Lepisosteus oculatus: one gene and its partners. The protein of the gene in region 2 interacts with the protein of the main gene of each other region in a biochemical or structural test. Links are inferred from orthologs where the notes say so. Each region holds a gene or a part of one and is shown on either strand. Other genes may lie near its edges.

Region 1 (7,990 bases), on a different chromosome or scaffold from region 2:
ACTGAACTGAAAGTATATTTAAAACGGGTTACGTGCCACAAATCTTAAAGGTATCATCAGTAAGCGGGGTAAATACTACAATATATACCAGCATACAGTTGTCGAATGTATCCTTTTGCGCTAGTACTAGTAGCCGGTTTTTAATAATACTGTACGTGAGGGGGTTTTTAGAGAGAGCTAGGGCTTTTCGATAACCGCACGAAGACGCAGTGCGAGTCTGAGGGGTGTTCACAATATTAACTAAAACCCTGTCTTGAATCTCAGTCCAATTAAACAGGACTGCGTCCAGCGCAGGCTGGCCTTGCGACACCGGAGAAGAACGGCCACTGACCCCTGACTTGGCTGTAGCAAAGTCCGTATTATTACATGTTCCACTCTGTTGCATAGCCGTTCGGTCAACAGGCCCTCATGGCAACAACTCGGTACAGGATCAACTTGAGACAGAAAAGGCAAAACACTCAGAGCGAGATCCATGCAATATCTTAACCACAGAGCATGAAATTAGCACAAGTTTCCAAATGCAGACTATAATTAATACAACTAGACCGTGTTGTTAGTTTAAAGAATCCAAATAAAAACTAATAATGAGCATAACCATAAAGGGAATAAAACTGGGTTATGATAGGGAAACGATTAATCACTCGCACTGACAAGAGGACAAGTATATTTGATTTATTGAAGAAGCGTATAAAAATGCGAACAGTTCACTTAGTGATAAAAACTCACCTGGCTTGACGGTCTTCAGACGAATCGGCTCCCGAAAGTGGCGGATAACTGCAAGCGTGTCCCTGTTCGTGAGTCCGCTCACCGGGGTTCCGTTCACCTCCAGCAGCACGTCCCCGGGGCTCGGCAGCTTCCCGGAGTGACAGACAACCGCCTCCAGCTTCACCTGGCCCAGGTGGGGGAACTCGCCGAGCTCCGCTCCCCCCAGGACCTCCACCACCGAGCTGAACTCACCGGCGCTGCCCCAGGACACCGCGCACTCCTGAACTTTGCTGGACCAGTGTTTCTTCTTCCTCAATGTTTTGGACATGTTGTTTTACTCCCCGTTAAAAGCTTTCAAAAAGCAAAGTCGCGTTTTGTTTGTTTACTTGATTTTCTAGTTTCCTACGACACGTTTAAACAAAAGATTAGAATTGCATTATGTTGATTGCGAAACGAAGTAAGCCTCCTGTTGTCTCTTAATTCCATTCCTCCAATAGTGAAGATTTTAATATTTATTTTATTTATATAATTTTAGCTACGGATAATCATCTGTGCTCCGACCGTCACTCATTGTAAATAAAATGCTATCATTCAAGCTTGTGGCTCGCTGAAGCAGCACGTAAATAATCCAGCCTTCCCATTTAAAATTTCAAATTGCAATGAAACAAATTAAAATAATATTATGCTGCCAGAAGATCATTATTTTCAATCAGTCGTGCATGTCCGATCCTGTCTATATTGATCTCCAGCGATGCTTCTCACGGCGTTGTGTATATATTCTTAGACATAAAAAAAAACAATGAATAAATGCAAATAGCTGATTTCTGTACTCCAATGAGCAAATGTCCTATCCAAAGAAGGAATTAACAATCGATCGGCTCAGTTTCTTGTCGCTGTTTACAAGGTAGTCACTGGCCTCAACCTGATCAAACGATCTGATTAATGAATCGGACTGCTGTCACTACGCCAAGTCCACGCAATTTCTTTAACAGTTTCGCCGGAATTCCAAAAGCACCTGCAAACTATATCAGCTGGAGGTGTAGCAGGGGCATAGGAAGAAAACACTTCCAACTTCAAACTGAGCTTCACGTTATTATTGCCCCGCGTCTACAACAAACCTTCCGTCACTCGCGTCCAACGCACCTGTTCGTTTTTAACTTGGCAGCAGCCGCATTCCTGTGAAATGGGCACGGCCGGCGCAGGCAGTGCTGTTGTGTGTAATACTCGGAATGCCCGTGTGTGTGTTTTTTTCCGGAGGATTGTTCTCAATCTGTCCCACAATCCTGCTGAGCACTTTCCACCGTGGCGACCGCACCGCCGCGCATCTGCCTCTTCCAGCAAGCGGCTCCGGGTTCGCTAGCTCAGTCACAGCGCCGGCAGCCTCCCTCCCACGAGCCCGGAGTGGGAAATGATTCCAGAACTTTTTTAGTCATTTTCACCTTGTTAGTAGTGCTGGGGTGGGCAAGGCGCGGTTGACTGCTGTTGTTTCGAACCAATCGCGGAGAAGGATGGGGAGTAAAAACACTGGGGGCCAGCCAATGCTAAAAACAGCTGGGCGGGTCTTCCGAGTTGTTACCCTGTAACACAGAGAGATAGCACGGCTAACCCTTTGAGTGCCGACCGTGCACTTCGATCCTCATGCTATTATTATCATGCTCATCACAGGCGAACACGGTGCTGCTCACCGAGTACAAGGACCGTATCGTGTTCCCTCTATCACCCTGCACACATTTCTATCCAGACTCTTTTTAAGAGGAGATCAGTCTGGTACAACGTCAAAATGAGATTCACCGGCAGGGGAATTTGAGCAAATATTTGGTCACTGGTCACCGCGATAATTTGCTAATGTTCCAGAAATTGTCTCACTTGTTAATACTACTCCGGTACTAATATTTGTAAAATCCGCGTTACCTGTCAGTCCTTACCTTTCCCCTAAAATTAAAAGGACACTTCGCAGCGACTAGGTTACTGTGTTCTCTCTCACCCCACGCAACACTTTTAAAAAATTCTACTCGACTACACAGTATAGGTTTAAGTTAGCAAAACGTTAAAAGATCGCACCTTGAGAAGACAGGACAGCAGAAGAAATACGACGTTCTGCACCACAGGTGAATGGCGAGCCAAGAACCGGAGGCTTTTCAGTGCTTTTTTGTATTAAACCGCAGGAGGAAGATCGTCTTCCAGACACCTACCACGTTTAATAAATGCGCTGTTGTCCGCAATTCCACCGACTCTCAGCGGAGTCCTTGTTATTCAGTTACTACACAGTTAGACAGCAATACTAACACTGTTGCCTTAGTCCCGCATCAGGATACCTAAGGAAGTCCTGTACTTTGCGCCCCGAAGCGTCCCATTATTTCAACAAGAGAATTTGCGTAGACCTCATCAGTACAGACCTAACTGGACGCTTACGCTATTGCTAGCACTGCGTATTTCAAAAGCACGTATAACCCCAGTTTTCGACAAAGAAAACTCATCATAATTCATAACAGCAATGCAAATGCCTCAAATTCCTGTTTTCGAAATATATTTTTTATAATCAGTACAGTTTACAGGCGGGGAAATGGAAATAATGTAAATGTGTTATCTGCTAATGCGAAGGTATCGTAGTGTCTCGAGCCTGCCATCTTGTGGTGAGGAACAGCAATGGCAGCCTGATGTTCATAACCTCTAACACTTCACGAAGTACGAAGGACATTTGTCATTACATTACTCAAGGTCGACATCATCATAATATCCATCTTTCAAACAATGCACAGCATTACTGCAAAAATTAAAATATACAAATACTTAACTTGATTACGATTTTAGCTCTTTGGATTAACAGCAGCCGCAATACAGCAGTCCTACACAGCTGGGTACACTAGCCTCTATCATGTGGTGACGCTCTTTTCTGGACATTACACATATGGAGAGGAGCACTGCCAGTTTATATAACGCTAATGCCAAGACTGGATGGCCCTGGTCCACTGCAGCAATTGTAGTCTTCAACCTGTTGTGTTACTTATTTTGAATTTAATTTGGTGTAAATCTTGGGTCAATTCATTTTTTTATATATCATATAATGTAATGTATTCTAAGTCTTTCATTCTAATATCATTCTAAGTCTTTCTTACCTTCTGATTACCTACTGTATATATCCATTCATACACCGTTGTCCCGCTGTCTACTCATTCAGGCATGTCTGTAGCACCAGATTCCCCATATCTTTAAAAAAACATAAGGCCTCTGACCTGAACCCTGAACCCGAGACAGAGGACACAGGAAGCCAACAGCTCCTCCACTGTCCACCTGAGCTCTGGCAGCGGGGATCAGAGTGGTGGAGCGTGTTAGCATGTCCCAATGCCATTGTCCATTAAGCCCTCTGCCGCATGGTGTTCTGCCCCATTAGGCATCACAGTCGCACACTGTCAAAGAGCTAGGACGAAATCCAGCTCAAGGGCCAAGTGACAAAAGTCTAAAACTGATTAATTTGATCTACATACAGACAGCTAAAGGCAGAGGGAAGTCAAAAGGCTTGTGACGGAGTCGAGGACTTTCCTTTTTCCACACATTGTACCGTTCATTTGTAGAAAATAATATGTAGCGGGCTAGAAAACATGATCAAAATGCACCAGTTTTGGATGATATTCCCTTCATTGGCTTTGTCAGTTCCTCCCGCCTTGTGCCTGTTGCTTGCCCGGATAGGCTCTGGCTCCCCCACGACCCCTACCTGGAAGAAGAAAATGCAAAAATGGGTGGCTTTGTCCATATCAGGTATCCCGTCAGGCTCATAGCCCCCCTTGTAATAAGGATTGGATGCTGGAGTAAAAAAAATGTAAAACAGCAAAATAACTATACAAAAAGCCAGCAGCCATATCACCCTGCAAATCACAACTGGCAACCCACTGAAACTAAGCAGGTGTGAGCCTGGTCAGTACCTGGATGGGAGACCTCCTGGGAAAAACTAAGGTTGCTGCTGGAAGAGGTGTTAGTGGGGCCAGCAGGGGGTGCTCATCCTGCAGCCTATGTGGGTCCTAATGCCCCAGTATAGTGATGGGGACACTATACTGTAAAAAGGCGCCGACCTTTGGATGAGATGTAAAAACCGAGGTCCTGACTCTCTGTGGTCATTAAAAATCCCAGGGCGTTTCTTGAAAAGAGTAGGGGTGTAACCCCGGCATCCTGGCCAAATTTCCCTATTGGCCCTTACCAATCACGGCCTCCTAATAATCCCCATCTATGAATTGGCTACATTACTCTGCTCTCCTCCCCACTAATAGCTGATGTGTGGTGAGCATTCTGGCGCCCAGAATGGCTGCCGTTGCATCATCCAGGTGGATGCTGCACATTGGTGGTGGTGGAGGGGAGTCCTCATTACCTGTAAAGCGCTTTGAGTGGAGTGTCCAGAAAAGCGCTATATAAGTGTAAGTAATTATTATTATAAAAAGAATATCACCGCTTTATTACAGGGCATGCACATTTCCAATGGCTGTGCTTCGAACCTCTCAGATTCGTCAGTCAAAGCTATACTACATGAGCAATTTGAATTACCTGCAGCTTAGCATTTGACTGGAAATTTGCATGGCAGAACCAACCAGAATCAAAGCCTGTCTTGACAAAAAAAAAGTTAAGAAAAAAAAAAGTCAAACCGCACGGTCCTATAAATTAAAAAGACACTAAAGTTACAGCATCAAGCTTTAATGTGTGCCAGGCGGCTGAAGGTGAAGCTGATTTCTTTTCTGAAGCTCATTCAGATCAAACCTGATCCCCATTTAGGACTGTTAAATGGAATCAATGACATTGCTAAAATTGAATGCATTTATTCAGTCAGCTTTTTCTACCTCTGCACTCAGTCCTGGTTCAATAGCTGGTGATCACGAGGTTTGTATCCCTGCCAGCTAACACTGGACCTAATCTGAAAAGGTTAATTGATATTTTAATTCGTCTCAGCCTTAATGTCTTCTTGTCAAGTTGGAGAGGACTTTTCTTCAATTTGTGGTTCAGTGGGATTTGCTGGACTTACAAATGTGACAGGACTGTGGCTGCAATGTTTTCACCCAAATGTAAAAAGAAGTCACTCGGAGCACATATTCCACTGAATATGCTTGGCTTGTGTTAAAGGAATCTCAGTTCTAGAAAAATGACAATGTCTTGGACATTTGGGATACCACCAGACCTTCCCAGTCTTGGTTGGGGGCTGTCTATTACTTTTTACTGCCGCCGATCTCTCAGTAATTTAACAAAATTCTTCATTGCTATGATCGTTAGCTTAATTATACATTCCTGCTACTAAGAAGGTGTAGATTCCAGGCTAGATTAAAATATGAAGGGTGCTTTGAAATCTCTAACCACAACAACTTGAGAACAATGAAAAACATGTCATTACACAAATGAGTAGTTCAGTTAAATATCCAATTAAGTCACCGAGATCAAGCTGGAATGAAAAGAAGAGTGAAGGCTTTTGGCGTCACAGGGAACACAACTGGCCAAGCCTGGTATACTTTCTCTCTCTCATCTAGACCAGTTCTCAAAGGCCACTGATCTCATTATTGAATTGAAGTTGTCAGCTGCTAATCGAAAAGCAGCTACACCCCCTACACCCCCTCAAGGACTGAATAGGCAGCTGCAGTCCTGAAGAACCTAAGAGCATTCTGGTTTTCATTCCACCACAGATCTTAATTGCTTCATTGAAGACATTATTTGCATACAAAGTCCAATCGCTTGTTTTATTAGGTCTCTATCAATTACTAACTGAAAACTACCTACCCAATCCTGCATGGATCCCACCTTCAGAGATCTAGACCACGTTCCTTACTTACAGTACTAGAGAGCACCAGTCAAGCCATTGTCATCTCTTATATAACCCGTCCTGCATAACACAAACACACAAGAAAGGTTTCAAGAGAAAGGAGGCTGTTCAGCCCATCTAGCTAGTTTGGGAGTAGAGCAATAAATTGGTCCACTTAACAAGTCAGGAGATTAAGGGCACAAGTCGAAAGACAATCAGAAGAGCCTCAGCCCACCAAAGCAGTGCTCTACAGACTTCAAACACATGTAATTACTGATCAATTAAGTACATTACATATTCAATTAAGTAGTGCTTGAAGACTGAAGTGTGTTCGGGTGTTAATTCAAATGCATTCATTTCCAAGGTACTTAAGGTATCAAATCACTTTAACTGGTCACAACATTGTTGTTCTAAGTCTTTCGAAAGTGGTAATTTGAAGAGGTGAAAAACCATGGCCCAGCAGGTCTTACAGGGAAATCACACTTCACAATAAGCACGTAAAAACAATTGTAATTAAGACCAATAACTGGTGGGATTAAATCATCGGGAGCTCAGGTAGAATGACGAACAGGGGTGCGTTTAGCACACCTTATAATCTTGATAAAAGTAAACCAGTCATAGACTTTATGTTTCTGTTCACTGTAATCTGGATCATTTTCGGTCTGTTTCAGAAAATGTCACTGCTGTGTTCTATTTATCCAGATTACAAGTATTGCAATTACGAAAGCCAATTTTTGGAGCAGTTCTTAACTGTTGATCAGGCCTGACAAAGATCCAAAAAAGAAACAGAAAAATTAGGTACATTTCTACTACACAGTATTTTTTGTTAATCTGATAACATAAAAAGCAGGCAATTTGCATTCAAGGTTCTTGCACAGATAATACAAATATTTTTTTAATTATATGTATGAGATATGTGCAAAGGTTTTGGACTTTGTTTTCCTCATCCCTTTGATGTCCAGCAGGTCTAAAACAACCCCCTAAGCATGAATACACATGCTTAAGTTTGTTCCAATTAGTTCTATTTTTCTCTTTCTCTTCTGCAACACATTTCAAATCACTTGTCCATTCACAGCTCAAGTCATATATTGATTGTTGGTTACATCTGATGTAGACTGATAGGCCCACCTCTTTCTTTCAAGAGACCTGCCAAACCTGCTGGACTTTCCCACTGAGGGACAGACTGTCTAAATCCATTGTTTCTCCTTGGCATGATTTTGTTTTTCCCAACCAGCATTTTAAGAAACTGAATTCTGCAAGGATGTGGGTTCTTTAAGACCTGCTGCTTTATTTCAATTATTTTAATCCAGCATGTTAAAATAAGGCAGGTGCTGTTTTTTTTTCGGTTCAGGACAGCACTTCTGCATCAAGATGTTCTAGTTCTATCATGGCCCAGCTCTACTGAAAGGTAGCAATGACACATCTGTCAGCAGTGACAACGGGTTACATGATGCTCATTGCTCTGCAGGATTTTACACCTCTGCCTTAAAACCCATTGATCTCCCTTGGCTACCA
Region 2 (7,552 bases):
AGTGTATGCATAGTATAATGCATAGTATAGTATCTTGTGAATTACCCAGGCTTTTGCATCAGTTAGATGAAATCTTTTAGTTAAGCACACATAAAAATCAGTTGTTCGTCTTTAGTACATATTCTGGCCAATCATGTGAAAGGCATATATAAACTCGTGCTGGAATGGCTGCAATGGTGAAATGCATTCATGCCTTTGTAAAGTTGATGCGAGCAGGAGACATTAAGGTGTTTTTAGGTTGGGGCTTCAAAACCCGGGTGAGACACCGCTGATCTGCCCCCAAAACTTACTCTCGTAAAATCACAACTGTATAAAGGAGTGCGAATCGTAGCTGCTTTACACTAATGAAGTGTGTAATTTGTACGAACAGATGGTGATCAATGCTGGATGAAAAAGCAACACGTGTGAAGTTGTGTACTACCAGCAGGCTAGACTGTCAAGTGGACTACTCTGTGCACTTTTTTCAACTGCCTGCTTGCTTTTCCCGTTATCCTCTTTCGGTAATTTAACTGCCTGCACCTACGAGCCCAGGGACTCGGTATTCTGCCTGCGTTGTCCTGAGGGCCGCAGTTCCACTGGAAAGGAAGATTTCTGGGCTGCCTGCCGGTGGGCGTTGCCTAAGGGCTCATTAAAAAATACATTACAAATAATAAGACGGGAAGTGAAGACCTCAAAAGCTCTTTTATAGGCTATGGATGTGGCGTGTGATTTGCGATTATGCTGGATGTTTGAAGAGTTTACACTGAAAGACCTGTTACCGTTGCTTTTCCTTACAGGCAGTGTGCTGGAAGTCGATTCCGTTGGTCCAAACCTGCCAGCTTCTTCCTGAAAGCTTTTGCACAACGAAGATACTGATGTTTTACTTGCATGACAGCGTGGATCATTTTAAAGTTTGAGAAGCAATGCAGCCTCATCAGATCGTTGCAGATACTGCTCTGCAAATTAATAGATGTGTGGGAAGAGATACCCTTAGAGCAGAATAAATACAAATTTCAATTTGAACAGGGTTTCTTCACCAGTCTGCTGAGCTGTTGAGCTCTCATGCACTGCATTTCAAAATACACACATGTGACCCAAAATTAATGCCGCCGTTGTGGCATATGCGAAAGAAATCCACATTCTGGTGAATCATCCAATAGACTCTCACTACATGATTGATTGATTGATTGATTGCTGAAGTATGACATCGATTACAAAAATTGTATGCACTTTTCTTTAAACAATTGGAAAATGCAAGGTGTTGTTTCAAACTATATGGTTTACAATAACTTCTTCCCCCTGGCAGAGCAAATCGTTAAATAGGAAAAAAAAACTTAGAACACTTCACGGCTCTCATCTCTCAGCTTAGCCAAGGCAATCACACTAGAGCGAGCCAGAAGAGTCTTTCATTTCAAAGACCTGGTCAAAGGCAACTTGAAGAAATGCATCAATATCCACCCCTGGGAGATTATGGCTCTTGTCCTAACCCAATGAAGCAAGAATATCTGGATAGGAAACCAGCACTTTGCGACTCAATGATGTCAGAGCGAGAACCCAGGAGGAAGCAGAGCCCTGAAGCGAGCTGCCATGAGTGTATTGCACAATACATGACCACGACTTCTGAGATGACACCTCCTCAAGCTGCCAGACAGTCTGCAGATCTGGCACCGGCCTCATCAATCACCTTCAGCTTCGTGGAAGACTGTCATCCTTGAACGTGAGGGATAATAAATGAATCAGTGACTTTTGTCTGGCAATATTTAGCAGAACTGTCATGACAGCTGGAAATGTGGGGTTACAGGAGTGTCAAATTTAGGCCTACTGGTACTGTGCATCGTGACGACACCTTTCCATTGCCGGTAACTGCCGATACGCTGACATCTCATCAGTCTCCTTTAGTAGACCTCTACGGCCAAGCTCAGGCTTCTGTCCAGGCCTTTCAGTACACTGCAGTCCAACAGCCTGCCTGACTCTTGGCAGGGTGGATGGCTAATTTATGTGAAGAATCTCTCCCGAAATGAACTATCCTTTTAACCCCATTTATGTCTGTAAGCTTGGATCTCTACGAAACGTATCCATTACCAACCTTGTAATTGTCTGCATTATCAAGATGCTGCATCTTATACCATTTTTTCTAAACAGTTTGGAATGTTGGGTTTCAGCTCATCTCCTTCAGAGATTCATTCAAATGATAAATGGTGGGATATATTGAAGGATCTGCTTTATTCCTTGGCATTATCCACTGAGACCGCCTGAAATAATCAAATATTAATAGGCTTATTAGGCTACATCTGGGTTACTACATCTGCAGACACTCTGCTCTCCAGGGGGTAATACACTGGGCTTTTCTAACCCCCATTACCTTGTAAAATGGTTGCTGGACTGGAACACAAATCAAAGTTTTTTTTCCCCTATCTGCTTTTTCATTTCACAGGTTAAAAGACAACAAACCACAATAAAACTTCTTGTCTGGTCTTGTGGATGGGTGACCCCTAGATTCATGGACAGAGACTATGTAGTATCGCACTTCACAACAATACGGGTCTGTAGCAGCCAGTATGCCAAATCTTTTCTCTCTCTCTCTGGACATCACAATAGAGGGCCAAGAGCATTGCACCTGAGCTCCCTTAAGCTCTTTTTTATTCAATCTTTGATCTGCTCTGCATAGAAATGGCAGTGCTGATGTGTCCTTTCCATAACTTTTCCCCCAACCCTCTTCCGCCCCAACTCCTAAAATCCGTGACTGAAATGAAACACGAGACATGAGACATGAGAGTGATGTGCAGGTCCTTACCTGCTAGGACCAAACCAGGATTTGTTTCTTATGCTGGAACCATCGGAATGTTGGTAAAAGTGGTGAGAGATCAAAAGACATCAAACCAGTAACAATGGTTTACCACAGAGCACCCTAAACCACATCCTTCTGATCCCAGCTTCTGCTGGCCTGTTTTCCAGCAGAGTCCTCAGACGCCCCTCGGTAAGCTGAAGTTTTCACATTACTTATTCATCATTGCACCCAACTTGGAATCTACAGTTTTACAGCCGAAAACGAATTTGCAAGAAAAAAGGTCTGTTTTTGGAAGAAACTCATTTCTGGATGTCCTTATTCAGCTCTTTGTCCCTGTCGTTGGTCACTTTTAACAGTTGGTTCACACCTTAAAGATGTGGTTAGACAGCAGGAGGCTTTAAACACTGGAACAACTGAATGAGGCTGAGCTCAATGAATCCGTGCAAAATATGTTTGCAGGACTGAGCACAGAACCCAGTTTAAATAGTTATTTTCAAGCAATTCTATTTCATATAAGGGGGTTAATAATGACGAGCTCAACTGGACCAGAAACAAGAGTCGTGTTTGTTTCAGCACCAGGGCTGAGATATTAAGGATACTTCCTTCCATTAATATAATGCTTTTCATCCTGAAGGAACCCAACTGCTGAGCTTCTAAAGCAAAGCAATCCCTGTCCTGGGGGGGCTGTAAGGTTTTAGGGTTATTCAAAGCAGCAGCAGCACCAGAGTGGTCCACTTTAGCCAATGATGAGCTGACTGGGTTCATTAAGAGCCGAGTTGCAATTAAAAACCTGCAGACACACGGGCCCTCCAGGACCACCACGATCACCCTCAGCCATGAGGAGTAAGAGTTGTGCTACATTATTCATTATTTAATTGATCTGCAAGAAGCTTAAGTACTGTACATAACTATAAAACCAGCCCGGCTGTATGCAAGGCCTGGAAGCTATTCTTTGACTTCCTTCATATACAGAGCCCTGCGTTACTGGGAAACTGAAGCAAACTCTTGTCATTACTTTATAGCATTGCAGTTCCTGAAGAGTCCCATGCCTTCGGACTGATGCAGTTGGAATACTTAGCTGATCAGTTACTAAAATGATGTCCCTAACTAGACCTACAGATCTAAGATAAGATCATGTTTATTTTCACAGCTGATCAGGGCTATAAAATTAAGAACTCAGAGGGCTGGTGTACATGCACAGTTTTGTTCCAGCTTTGCACTTAAGCGCCTAAGCAAACTCTGTATTGGCTTAATTGGACCAATTCAGTAGTTTCTCCAGCTCTTCAGGGTGCTAGTGCTGGATGTGCTAAGCAGGCAGGTACCCTGGGGTTGTAGCATTAGATATAGACACCAAAGGACACAATGACTGGAGGCCAGTCACAGTGCAAACAAAGCAGGGTTTCCATATCAGGATGTTTGCCCAGTATGGTTTAAGGAGAAGGCGCATCCCATGACGTTGTCATCTAATGGAAAAAAAACTGTCATCTAATATAGCCTGGAACTGTTTTAAACAAACGCCAGGACCCGAGCTTGCCTGGTACTCAGATTTATTATTTTTTTAAAAGGGGAAGAAAACACATACTGTAGAACAACAGAAGATTTCTGATAATTTTTTCTTTTACCCTTGAAACACTCGTGGTTTATTTAGAGCAAATAATGCAGCACATTTCCTAAATTCGCCACCACCGTAGTCTAATTAGGTATCGTGCTAACGCAGCACAAAGTGCAGAGGTGTTCACACCTGGGAACAGCCTTGTGCGATTTCTATCATTATTGCTCTTCAGCGCAGAGTAGCCGATAATGAGACGCTTTAAGAGTAAACAACTATCAAAGCATTTGTTTGAGCAAAAGGCACTGCAGGTAGGCATCAGCGATTTCCTTCATTTTCTAAAGTAGCACGATAGCAACATAATTTATATCAGCATGCCTCACGGGAACCGCAAGAGAATACTAAATGGCTTTTCGGGGTGAAACAGTTTGGCAGAACTCTATATCATCTGGGTAGTATATAGCTTGCTTTCCAATCCACACCATCTTACACACACGAAGCAATTTGCAGGTAGTCGGCTCCATACAAGAACTTAAAAGATATAGAGGCGTCCGCCTTCTTACAGACATCAGGTTATTCCAGAATTTCAACCACTGTCTCCTCCGGGGAAAACAAACTCTTTCGTTTTGCAATTTTCTCTCGGCCCGTTTGGTTTAATGTGCTCCTATGATCATTCCGAAGAGACTCCGATTGTACTTTTCTCCGTTTAGCGTGAAATTTGATGTTTCGTGTAAACGGAAAGCGAAGAGAACAGTACAGCATAGTTCGGCTTTGATAACCCACCCCAGGAAAATAGGCTAACCCCAAAACCGGTGTTGGTAAACGTAATTTAAAAAAAAACAACTATTACAAATCTATTATATTGGTATTAGTTATCTAATTATTTAAATAAATGACTATAATTGAGCTCAAACGCAACCGGTGGGTTAATCGGTAAATTTACAAATATTATTGTATTCGAAGTAAGCAATTAATGTAATGAATTGTAATCAGTTAATGATAACGTGCACTTCAGAAATGTTTTCAAGACCACGCAAAAAATGTCCATTCAACCAATATTCCGTCAGGTGGAAGACGTACAGCGTGTCTCCTGAAACACAAGACGATTTGAAAAATGATGTTGATGATGAGCAGAGAACTTTCTGAAAGAGATGGGATCGAAAATCCATAACCCTCGAATTGAAGGGGGATAATTAATGGAATGTCATAGGAGCTGCTTTCTGACTGAATGCCTTTTTTGCTGTACGACAGCTTCAGATGAGATACGAGCCGGCGGAGAACATGCCACAAGCGTCCGCACGTTCTTTTAACCGATTCGCTCTCCTAAAGCCTCTGAACGGTCTTTTTTTTTTTTAAAGTCGCTATTTAGATTCCGTTTTCAAGCTGAAGTACATGAAGAACAAGTCATAGGTTTAATTCCATGCTGAAAAGAGACGTTTCGGCTGTGGAGCCTTCTTCGGGTCTGAGGAAGACAGGGCAGGCAGCAAAGATGAAATAACACAGGAAAACAAAAGTTGGGAGAGGGGAGGAGGTGAAGAGAGGGGTAAAGTCGAAATCTGCATGTGAATAGAGAAGATTGCACGAAAACAAGTCTGACGTTGAGAGAAGGTGTGAACCAGGTTTCAGGATAATTTTTGTTTCTGATGTCTTTCTGCGGCGGGAGTTGAGAAACCCTTCATTGAGAACTCAGATGGAGAGATCAATGTGATCAGGGCCGTCAGAGGTGAAATGAGAAACTATGGGCTTGGAGAAATCTTTACTCTTCACAGCCCTGACATCGGTCTCATAGGCTCATAGGTGGCGTTCCCCGACACCAAGAAGACCTACTGCTCCGACGCCTTCGACGCTCCTAGTATATGAAGAATGCTTGTATACACTATATTGTACATTTACATTATAAATAAAATCGGCCAGCATCGGCCAAACGGAGTTTGGAAATAAAAGGAAAGACATCGACACCGCGTTTCTTTGTGCTGTGACAATTTCCCGGAGCCTAATTTCATAGTTTGTGGCGAAGGTAGGAAAATTACATCCCGCTGCGTGTTGCCGTAAATTCCGACACGACTCCCTCAACATGATGCAGTTCTGCGCAGCGAGGAATCGTGAAACGAACATGTTGAATGTTGGTTAATCGCTTACGGACTTCAAATTCTGGTACATCTCGTTAAACCGACAAGGGCCGGAGGGTTATTGATAGGTGAGAAACGAAACACCGGTTTGAAATCAGCGTCTGATTTATATTTGCAAATAGTCAATGTGTTTATTCTTATCCGTTTATTCAGATAAAAGTAAAACAACACGGTAACAGCAATTCCTGAGCTCCTGTCAGGTTTGCCGGCACCGAAATAGGTAGGAGATCCCCATGGTAACATATACTGTAGCTTGCCCCAGAATAAAGATAGGAGTGGTCTTATACGCGCTGCACAGCTCGACTGCTCTCAGTGCGCAGTAAGCTCCCGTATTGGCAGGAGGACGGGATAAAACTAGTTAAGAAACCAGACCTCTACTACAGACACAGAAACATGGACCGGGAGTGATATCTGCAACCGACTGAAACGCCGGGTGACACCAGCAATCGGGAACTGGTTAATACTGTACCCAAAGCGAACTGTACTGTAAACATCAAAACCCTTGTAGATCGCGACAGGGACATCCTTCAGAGTTTAAAAGACAGACATTAAGATGAAGAACATAAATTGGTTTAAGGGCGCAGTTCGACAGTGATAGTGGTGCAGGGGGTCTGGAGAAGCGCTCTCACTCTGCGGGAGCCCTGAAGTCGTACGGCGGGGCAAATGACCGCAGGCTGCGGCAGGAGTCGCCCCGGTCACCGGATTCCCAGCCAGGACGCCGGGCGCCCCCGCTGATACCCTCAGCCCCGAGGCAGCAGCGCAAGCGTGGCCCCCCTGGAGGACTCGCCGGGCGATGCTGTCTCCGGACGTGCCGGAGTTAGGAGCTATTCTGTGAAGGATCCCCGGCAGCTCGGAGCATCCGGACTGTTCCGAGCGTCAGCGACAAACTGCACAGGAGTTGGGCGGCAGAGCAGATAACGTCCCAGCAGGCACGGAAATCTTGCCGGCTGAACTGCCGAGTGCAGACACTTGCTCTGCTAAGAATTTGGCGACTGTGGCATTGCTTTAGTCTGAAAGAAGCGGAGGCTCGGATGGACAGGTCGCAGCCTTCAGTGAATCTATAAACAAGGGACAGGCAGCATAACGTTTCAGCGCGCTTTTTGGAAG
Region 3 (7,512 bases), on a different chromosome or scaffold from region 2:
GAAACTCCTGTGCCCCCCAAAACACATGCATACTGTATACTGACACACATCCCAACATTGCTTCACATTTCCTGAAAACTAAAGTGCTAAAACCTGTATTTTACTTAAAACAACATAATGATAAAACATAAAAGTTCACATCCCTAAAACCATTCAGTCATCATCTTAGAAACTTGATTAATTGGATACCAAATTCAGCATGTCGGGGAGTAAAAATCTAATGTCCCTTCTGTTTTTTGGATTTCTCATTAATGGACTCTCAATGATGCCTTCCTTGACAGGAGAAGTGAAACCTCAGATAGATTATTACCAATTATCCTTTCATGCCACTTCTCTACTGCAGACAATACAATGTATGTTATTTAAAAGATTCCCACATCAAAGCACCTAACTTCTCGCCACTTCATCTGTAGAATATGGTTGACAGAATTACTCTACTGCAAACTCTTGCTATCAGTTCAGGTCAGTGGCTTCTCTCTCTATCCCTCATTCTTTGTCACTCTCTTCTCTCCTCTTTTGTGAATGAAAATATGAAATGCTGAATCCACAGCATAGATTCCTTAACTTAATTACATTCCAGGCAAATAGAAAAACAGAGTTTTGACAGCCAACAGCATGCTTGTGGTCAGTGGACATACTTTATTAATTCTGTCACTTACTGTATAGTTTATCAGTGTAGCATGGAGCAGATGACAACAGCTCCCATGCTGACTTCGCACCAAATGTTCCTAGCTAATTACGAAGTATTATTCCACATGACCTATCTGCTAAGATAGACAGCTCCCACACAATGTCAGCAAGGACTTGTCAAATTCATTTTGCTATGAAAATAAAATTTCTATCCCACTTTAAAATGAGACACTCCTTCTACGGTTGTGTTTTGGTGAGTGTACCTCCCACCTCAAGAATTTCAAAAATGTGCAAAACTCACCACTTTGGGGAGGTCGAGATTATTTTAATGTTTTAAGTGATGTTCTTTTGCTTTTGTCTTATTTCCATTAAAGAGAACAGAAAATAGAAATTGCAATGTCTTGCAAATGCATCATCCACTTCAAATGAATCATTTTGCTGAATTTCAAATGAGGTACAGTATTCACATATTGTAAAGTCAATATTTTAATCAAAATTTGAATGCTCAAATAAAATGCTTCTGTGGCTGAAATAAGGTAAAAGTAAGCAAAGGAAGGAAGTGAATACTTTTGAAAGGCACAGTAGTTCAAATGGTAACCTTTCAAATTACTTGGTTGTAAGACATACTGTAGTGTAATAGGAAATATTCTAGCAATTTAATTTTCTATTCTGTGAATGCTTACAAAATGTTTTACATAATTTAACAAGGAAACAAAAATTAACCTTGATGAAACAACTATGTATTTGTGTTTTTTATACAGTGAATCATATTTTAAAAGTCTCCACTGTGAACAGTAAACATATAGTTGGCTGTTTAAATAAGATATACTGTATACACACAAGTCAGGCATCCTGTGTGGGTGTTTCAGCCAAAATTTCAACAAAATGTAACACCCATTAAATATTTTGCAAAATAAAGGGTGTAGTGTTAATGTGGTACTGTAACTAGTACTGTTACCTCACAATTCCAAGATCATCAGTTTGGTCTTACAGTTGTGTACCAGGTGTTGAAAGTGCTGTACTTGTAACAGTATGGTGACTGCATGGACCAAAACTTAATTAAACACATTTTATACACAGTATAAAGTATATATTTAGCAAGATTGAATATACTTTTCTTAAAAAGAATCACAGCTTCAAAGAAAACAAAATATTATACATCTACTCCAGCTGGTGAAAAATGTCTTTGTGAAAAAGAAATCAAAATTCAGCAGCATGTTATAATCTTATTTGTCTATCTTGCTAATACATGGTTTAAAAGCTTCTGTGCATATTAAGCTCTCATACACTCAATTGGCACAGGTCAGCTCGGCATAATGCTTTAATCCAATGTTTCTGGGATTAGCATACTGTATATTCAGGCTTCTATTTGGAGCCTTATTATTTTAATCTACATGGAATATCCTGATAATCTGCATAGTGATATCAGTTTATTATAGCCTGGCATCTAAAAGCCATATGGTCATCCAGTTATCCAAAATACTGAGAACAGGATAAAGAGATATTTAGTTTATTTCACATCCAAAAACTTTGGGGACATGTGAACAAACTTCCAAAATGTATAATCTCATAATTGCATTATATTAGATATCCTTTTGTTTCAATAAACATTAAATGGCCTTAGCACAAACCTCAAATTTATGAGGTATTTTATATCTGTGTAAAATGGTGCGCGTGATTATCATTGCCATTTTACAAAGCATTATTATTTTATACACATTGAAAAATGTTGTTATTTTATAGACATTTAAAAATGATTTTGATAAAACTGCAAATAGAAGGTCTTGATATCTTGTTGATAAAACCAAAGAACAAAGAAAGGGTTGATTGCAATGGCACTCAAGTGTAACACAAAAGGAGAAACATATGTCTGGGTTCATACAAAATTGTGAAGATATACTTCTCAGTAACATACTGTAAATTAACTTGGTTGGGATTATTCTTGAGCTACAGTACAGTGCCAGGCACAAGTGGCTGGGTGACAATCTGCCTCATACCATACTTGTGATTGTAAAAAAAGCCTGGGCGATTTAAATTTGGATTCCATTTGAGGCAAGTGTACTCCAACAAATCTACTAAAATGTTGCACAGTCTCTCTTTACGGTGACCAGAACCAACTGTCAAAGGCTGTTACAGTAAGTCTTCAGTACGGTGTGCTTCCTTCACAATGGCACTGTGCCTAATTACTGTATGTGCAATGCTATTCACCCAAAGTACTTTACAAGGCAATTTACTGAAAGACAGTATTCCAATGCATCATGGAAACAAACTACAAAAGAGAAACACTTTAAAAGAAAACACTATTCACACTCTAGTGAACCTTCAGAAAGAGAGTAATAAATATGTTTGTGTATTCTAAATCCTAGAATCATATGCTTTGTGAATGTATGAGTATTTTAGGTAGGATAGCTTTGGTTTAACCTGTTTTGTTAAGGGTAGCCCCCTGGACATAGGATGAGGAGGCTTGAGCCCCAATCTAACAGAGGAAATAACCAAGCGGTAGCTGCAAGGTGGGGATGAGGTGGATGAAGACTAACGTATATGAGCCAAATGTGAAAAGAAGTGTTTGCATTATATACTGTATACTGTACACTATATACTGTACAGCATATACAGTAGCAATATTCAGTAATGATTATGATTAGGAACAGCTGGGTGAGATTGACTTTGTGTGTTTATCCCTCCTGAACTTCAATTAATAACTTCCTTTTAAGGTTGGAGTGTGTTAGGTAAGAAAATATGCATTTTTTTAAGTAATGTAAAACAACGACTAAAACAACCTTTCAATAGTTTTTGAGAATCAGGAATGAAAGTCCTTTCTTTACTTTCAGAGATAATACAGTAGCTCTTTTCATTACACTCACTACAACTACTGTACATGAAGGTACAGTACACCTAGGAAGAATTTGGAAAGACTGGTTCCAGCATGACACCGTTGTCGACAGTTTTCATCACAGTGCTTTAGAATTGGATTAGATACCACAAGCTGTTTCCAGTCCCTTACATCCACTATCCCTGTGAATGAAGTTGTAAAATTTGGCAAGCTACCTGCAGGTAGTTAGCCAAATTTTACAACTTCATTCACTTAGAAGCCAAGCGAGGACTATGTGTGCATGGAAAGCTTCAATGTGTCCTGTTGGTTTTACTTACTGGGCGTAAGGTAACCTTCTTTGTTAAAAGTAGCATGTTAACAAACGAAAACTATACAGTAGGTCTTTATTTAAATGGAGTCTGTTAAGCTCATACTTTACGTGTTTTTTTAGAAACGTAATCGTAATCAATTAGAAATGGCAACATGTCTGAGACATCATATGTACGAATTGCAAATACATGAAGGTACATCTAGAAAGACGCAGGGAACACTGATACCGCCATGGCACATCTGGGAACCCAGTTTTAAACATATATTATGCCCTCAATTCGCGTTAACACAGCGTTTGCTATTTCCCTGCATTCAAGTTTATTTTTAGATATTTAAAACGGGAGAGATGCAAATTTCCTAGAAGAATTTCTAACGAATTAAAATATTATGGCATGCTGTGTATTTGTAAAGGACCTGAACGCCCCATTGTTAAATGTGTCAGAAATCTGCTTCGTTAATTTCGTTTTATATATGTCTGTTACAGGCATCACTAGCACATCTCGCCGATTCCCCTTTGAATAGTTTGCTTTCTCAGTTAACAAGCTTAATCCCTCAGTATTAAAATTAAACGCACCGCCTCTTTATCTTTCCTCCTGGCTATTCTGCGGAGGGATTCAGAGCCCTGCCTCTCTCCTCCAGACATCACATCCGGGTCAGTTGCCTGCAACTCTGTGTAAACCAGCTTCACAGTTACAGTGTAACGCAGCCCCAGACAGCTGCTATAGAGGCTGGCTGACATGGATATTACCAGTAGCATCCAGTATTAATAAAATAACCTAGTATCCACTGGGGCATCAAAATCCAATATCACAGACAGTACTGGGAACTTATTGCATGAATAACTCATGCAGTATTTATTTCAGCCATGTCCAAAAGCCTGAAAAAGAAAAGCCACTGGACCAACAAAGTCCACGAAATTGTCATTTGCAGGAATAAAGAAGGCGAGCTTGGGTTTGAATTGAAAGGAGGCGCTGAGAATGGGCAGTTCTCCTATGTCGGAGAAATAAAGCAAGGCAAGGTTGTCTGTCAGAGTGGAAAACTGTCCCAGGATGAGCTACTGTTGGAGGTCAATGATACTCCAGTGGCTGGACTCACCATCAGGGATGTGTTAGCCGTTGTCAAACACTGCAAAGATCCCATCAGGCTGAAATGTGTCAAACAAGGTGAGTAGTACTATACTGTAATGTAGCCATCGACGTACCGCTGCTTTGATTAAGGCAAACCTATACTGTATACTATACAGTTCATGTGTGTAGTTCGTGCTATCGAGTGTTACTCCTGTTTATGCACTGTACAAAACGACGACAGTTTTAAATCTAAAACTTGGATGTCATCGAAAATTATGTTCTCTCGCGTTCTTGTTGTTTTTCCAGGAAAGGTCAAAGTCAGCAAAGTTTAAAATGCAAAAGAGAGTGGGCCGTTATGCGTAGCCTTAGATACCAGTTACAAACTTAAAAGCACAACAAAGCGGTTTGGTCGTAAGAGGTGTCCTTTGGATGGGAGCAGATTAATTAAAGTTACCGTAAATAATTTCCTTGAGAGTTTTTCACCTTTTATTTTAATATTGTTGCTGTTTACACGTTTTAGAATCCGGTCTTAAGTTGTAATGTGAAGTCAAGCATCAGTAGCTGAAAGGCACGGAAAAGATGAGTTGTTTTCGGCTTCAATAGCTGCTATCAGAAGCTAAAAGGAAATCCCATCCTCGACCTCCTGTATACAGTTTTACAGTCTTAGTATTATGCCTCATGTAAATCATTCTTTGCAGTCCGTGTTGTGCTTTCGGGCGATATTGTATGATTGATGTCTTTCGCTGGAAGTGAAGGAAGGTGGCGAACAAGCGTTCCCAGTTTCAGGCACACTTTTGCAGTATGTGGGCGTGGCGTTGCAGCTTTACAATCAAAGTTTATATAGAGATATACAAATAAAACAAATATTTTCCAACGTGATCCAACAGTGATAGCTTAAAATACAACCGTAGCTTTAACAATGACACAAATGCTTTATTTTAACAAGAAGAGAAATGTTAATATTTTATTTTTCTGTTTTGATTGTCTTTGGATTTGAGCAGTTGCCTTGTTCCCTTCAAGGCTTAACTTCTTGTTGAGAGCATCAATGGGATACAATATCTGTTAGAAAATTAAGTTAGAACAGTTGCTTTATTTAAGAGGAAGGACATTTTGATTTGTTACATGTTTCATTTCAGCTGCTATCTGCTCTAGATTTTCTGCGTTTTGTTAAAAATAAGCAAATATACAGTATACAGGTACAATCAGCAGAGTCATTGAGTCAGACTTGAAGGTAGCAGGAAAACAATGTCTTACAGCATTTGTTTTGCTTTAAACAGTTTTATATATACACAAATGAATAGGCTTCACTACTAATATTGATCAAATTATACTTTATATTGAAAGACCCACACTGATTCAACCTTAATATTTACTGTTGGTGTGTATCTCCTGTTGCATTTGCACCCTTAATCTGATGTCTGAATGTCTCACTGCTGCAGATAAGAACTGGAACCAGTGTTGGCTCAGAGCTGCTTCATGCAATAATGAACCGAACATGAGGCGTGATCTTGACTTGTTTTAGTCATGCTTGTTTTAGTCGTGGTACAGGAAAAAAGGCATTATGAAACTTAAGTACTGTATGTGTTGTTGTGTCCGATACATCACAATATGTTTGACTGGTTGTGTAGACTGCATTTTGAGAATTTTGATGATAAGAGAGTCTTGAAGCTAGAGAATTATGATGTATTGAGCTTTACATCATGAGTTAATAGTTTTGCTAATTAGTTCATTTTTACAGATACATCTTCAAAACTGGAAAAAAAACCAATATTTTTTGCGAGTATCTTTGGGATATTTTCTTTGATACACCATTCTTGCTTAACAAAATACTATTATGGGGTAAATAATGTAATTTGTGATCGACTGTGTCTGTGATGAACTCCCATTCATTTCACCATTAACAGCAAAGAGTTTATTTTTAATTCCATTTAATTCATTTTAAATAATGATAATATTAATTTTAAATAGTGCCTTTCATTATATGTTTTCTGAAGTCGCTTTTTGATTAATCAACACCAGAGACAGCTATAGTGTAGATGAGTCAATACAGTAAACTAAACAATTAAAAGCTGGAATAAAAAAGTTTTAAGAAAGGATTTCAAGTGCTGATGATATGAGCTAAGAGATCATTCCATAGCCTTGGTGCAACATTAAAGAAAGCATGGTCTCCCATGGTTTTGGGCCTTGAAAGAATCCAGTGTGCTCAAAATGTATACTGTAAGTGTTAACAGTTAATTGATTAGCTTCACAGGAGTTCTACTACGGTGCTAAAGCCCTTAAAGATGAACTGCATTATTTTGAGTTCCATTCTGAGTAATTTATTTTAATTAATTTTAGTTAAGTTCTGTGCCACTATGTTCTGATCATACTGCAACTTAGGAACATAATTGCAGGTACCAGCAAGCACTTCATAACTATTCAAGCCTGGAAAACATAAAACCATGGTTTGCTTTCTGTATCAGATTGGGAGAGATGTGAAAGGATTTCTACCAATGCTGCTAAGATCGAAAAAGACATCTTCACAGTATTTCAAACATGAGCTTCAAGTGCAAGCTTGTATAAAAGGTTCCTGACCTGTGTCCGTGATGCTATACTAAGACTATCAATAGCCAAAGTGTGCGGAGTTGATAAGGAGCAGATAATGTGGTCCTTTCAAAGTTCAGATGTAAAAAG

Evidence for each region.
Region 1: the proteins of crhr1 (region 2) and magi3a form a complex in vitro, tested with the Homo sapiens proteins (2 studies listed by BioGRID and IntAct, with this or other methods). The link is inferred for Lepisosteus oculatus from reciprocal best matches to the Homo sapiens genes CRHR1 and MAGI3.
Region 3: the proteins of crhr1 (region 2) and magi2a form a complex in vitro, tested with the Homo sapiens proteins (2 studies listed by BioGRID and IntAct, with this or other methods). The link is inferred for Lepisosteus oculatus from reciprocal best matches to the Homo sapiens genes CRHR1 and MAGI2.

Annotation. Positions count from the first base shown.
Region 1 is NC_090700.1:34,829,212-34,837,201, reverse strand, and holds the start of magi3a (membrane-associated guanylate kinase, WW and PDZ domain-containing protein 3a), read right to left. Parts: upstream 3,042-7,990; 5' UTR 2,898-3,041; exon of another isoform or gene 2,767-2,897; intron 2,283-2,766; 5' UTR 1,034-2,282; coding exon 727-1,033; intron 1-726.
Region 2 is NC_090723.1:8,137,646-8,145,197, reverse strand, and holds the start of crhr1 (corticotropin-releasing factor receptor 1), read left to right. Parts: upstream 1-4,538; 5' UTR 4,539-4,567; coding exon 4,568-4,627; intron 4,628-5,478; exon of another isoform or gene 5,479-7,552.
Region 3 is NC_090702.1:34,684,244-34,691,755, reverse strand, and holds the start of magi2a (membrane-associated guanylate kinase, WW and PDZ domain-containing protein 2a), read left to right. Parts: upstream 1-4,471; 5' UTR 4,472-4,637; coding exon 4,638-4,935; intron 4,936-7,512. UniProt on the Homo sapiens protein: Seems to act as a scaffold molecule at synaptic junctions by assembling neurotransmitter receptors and cell adhesion proteins. Plays a role in nerve growth factor (NGF)-induced recruitment of RAPGEF2 to late endosomes and neurite outgrowth.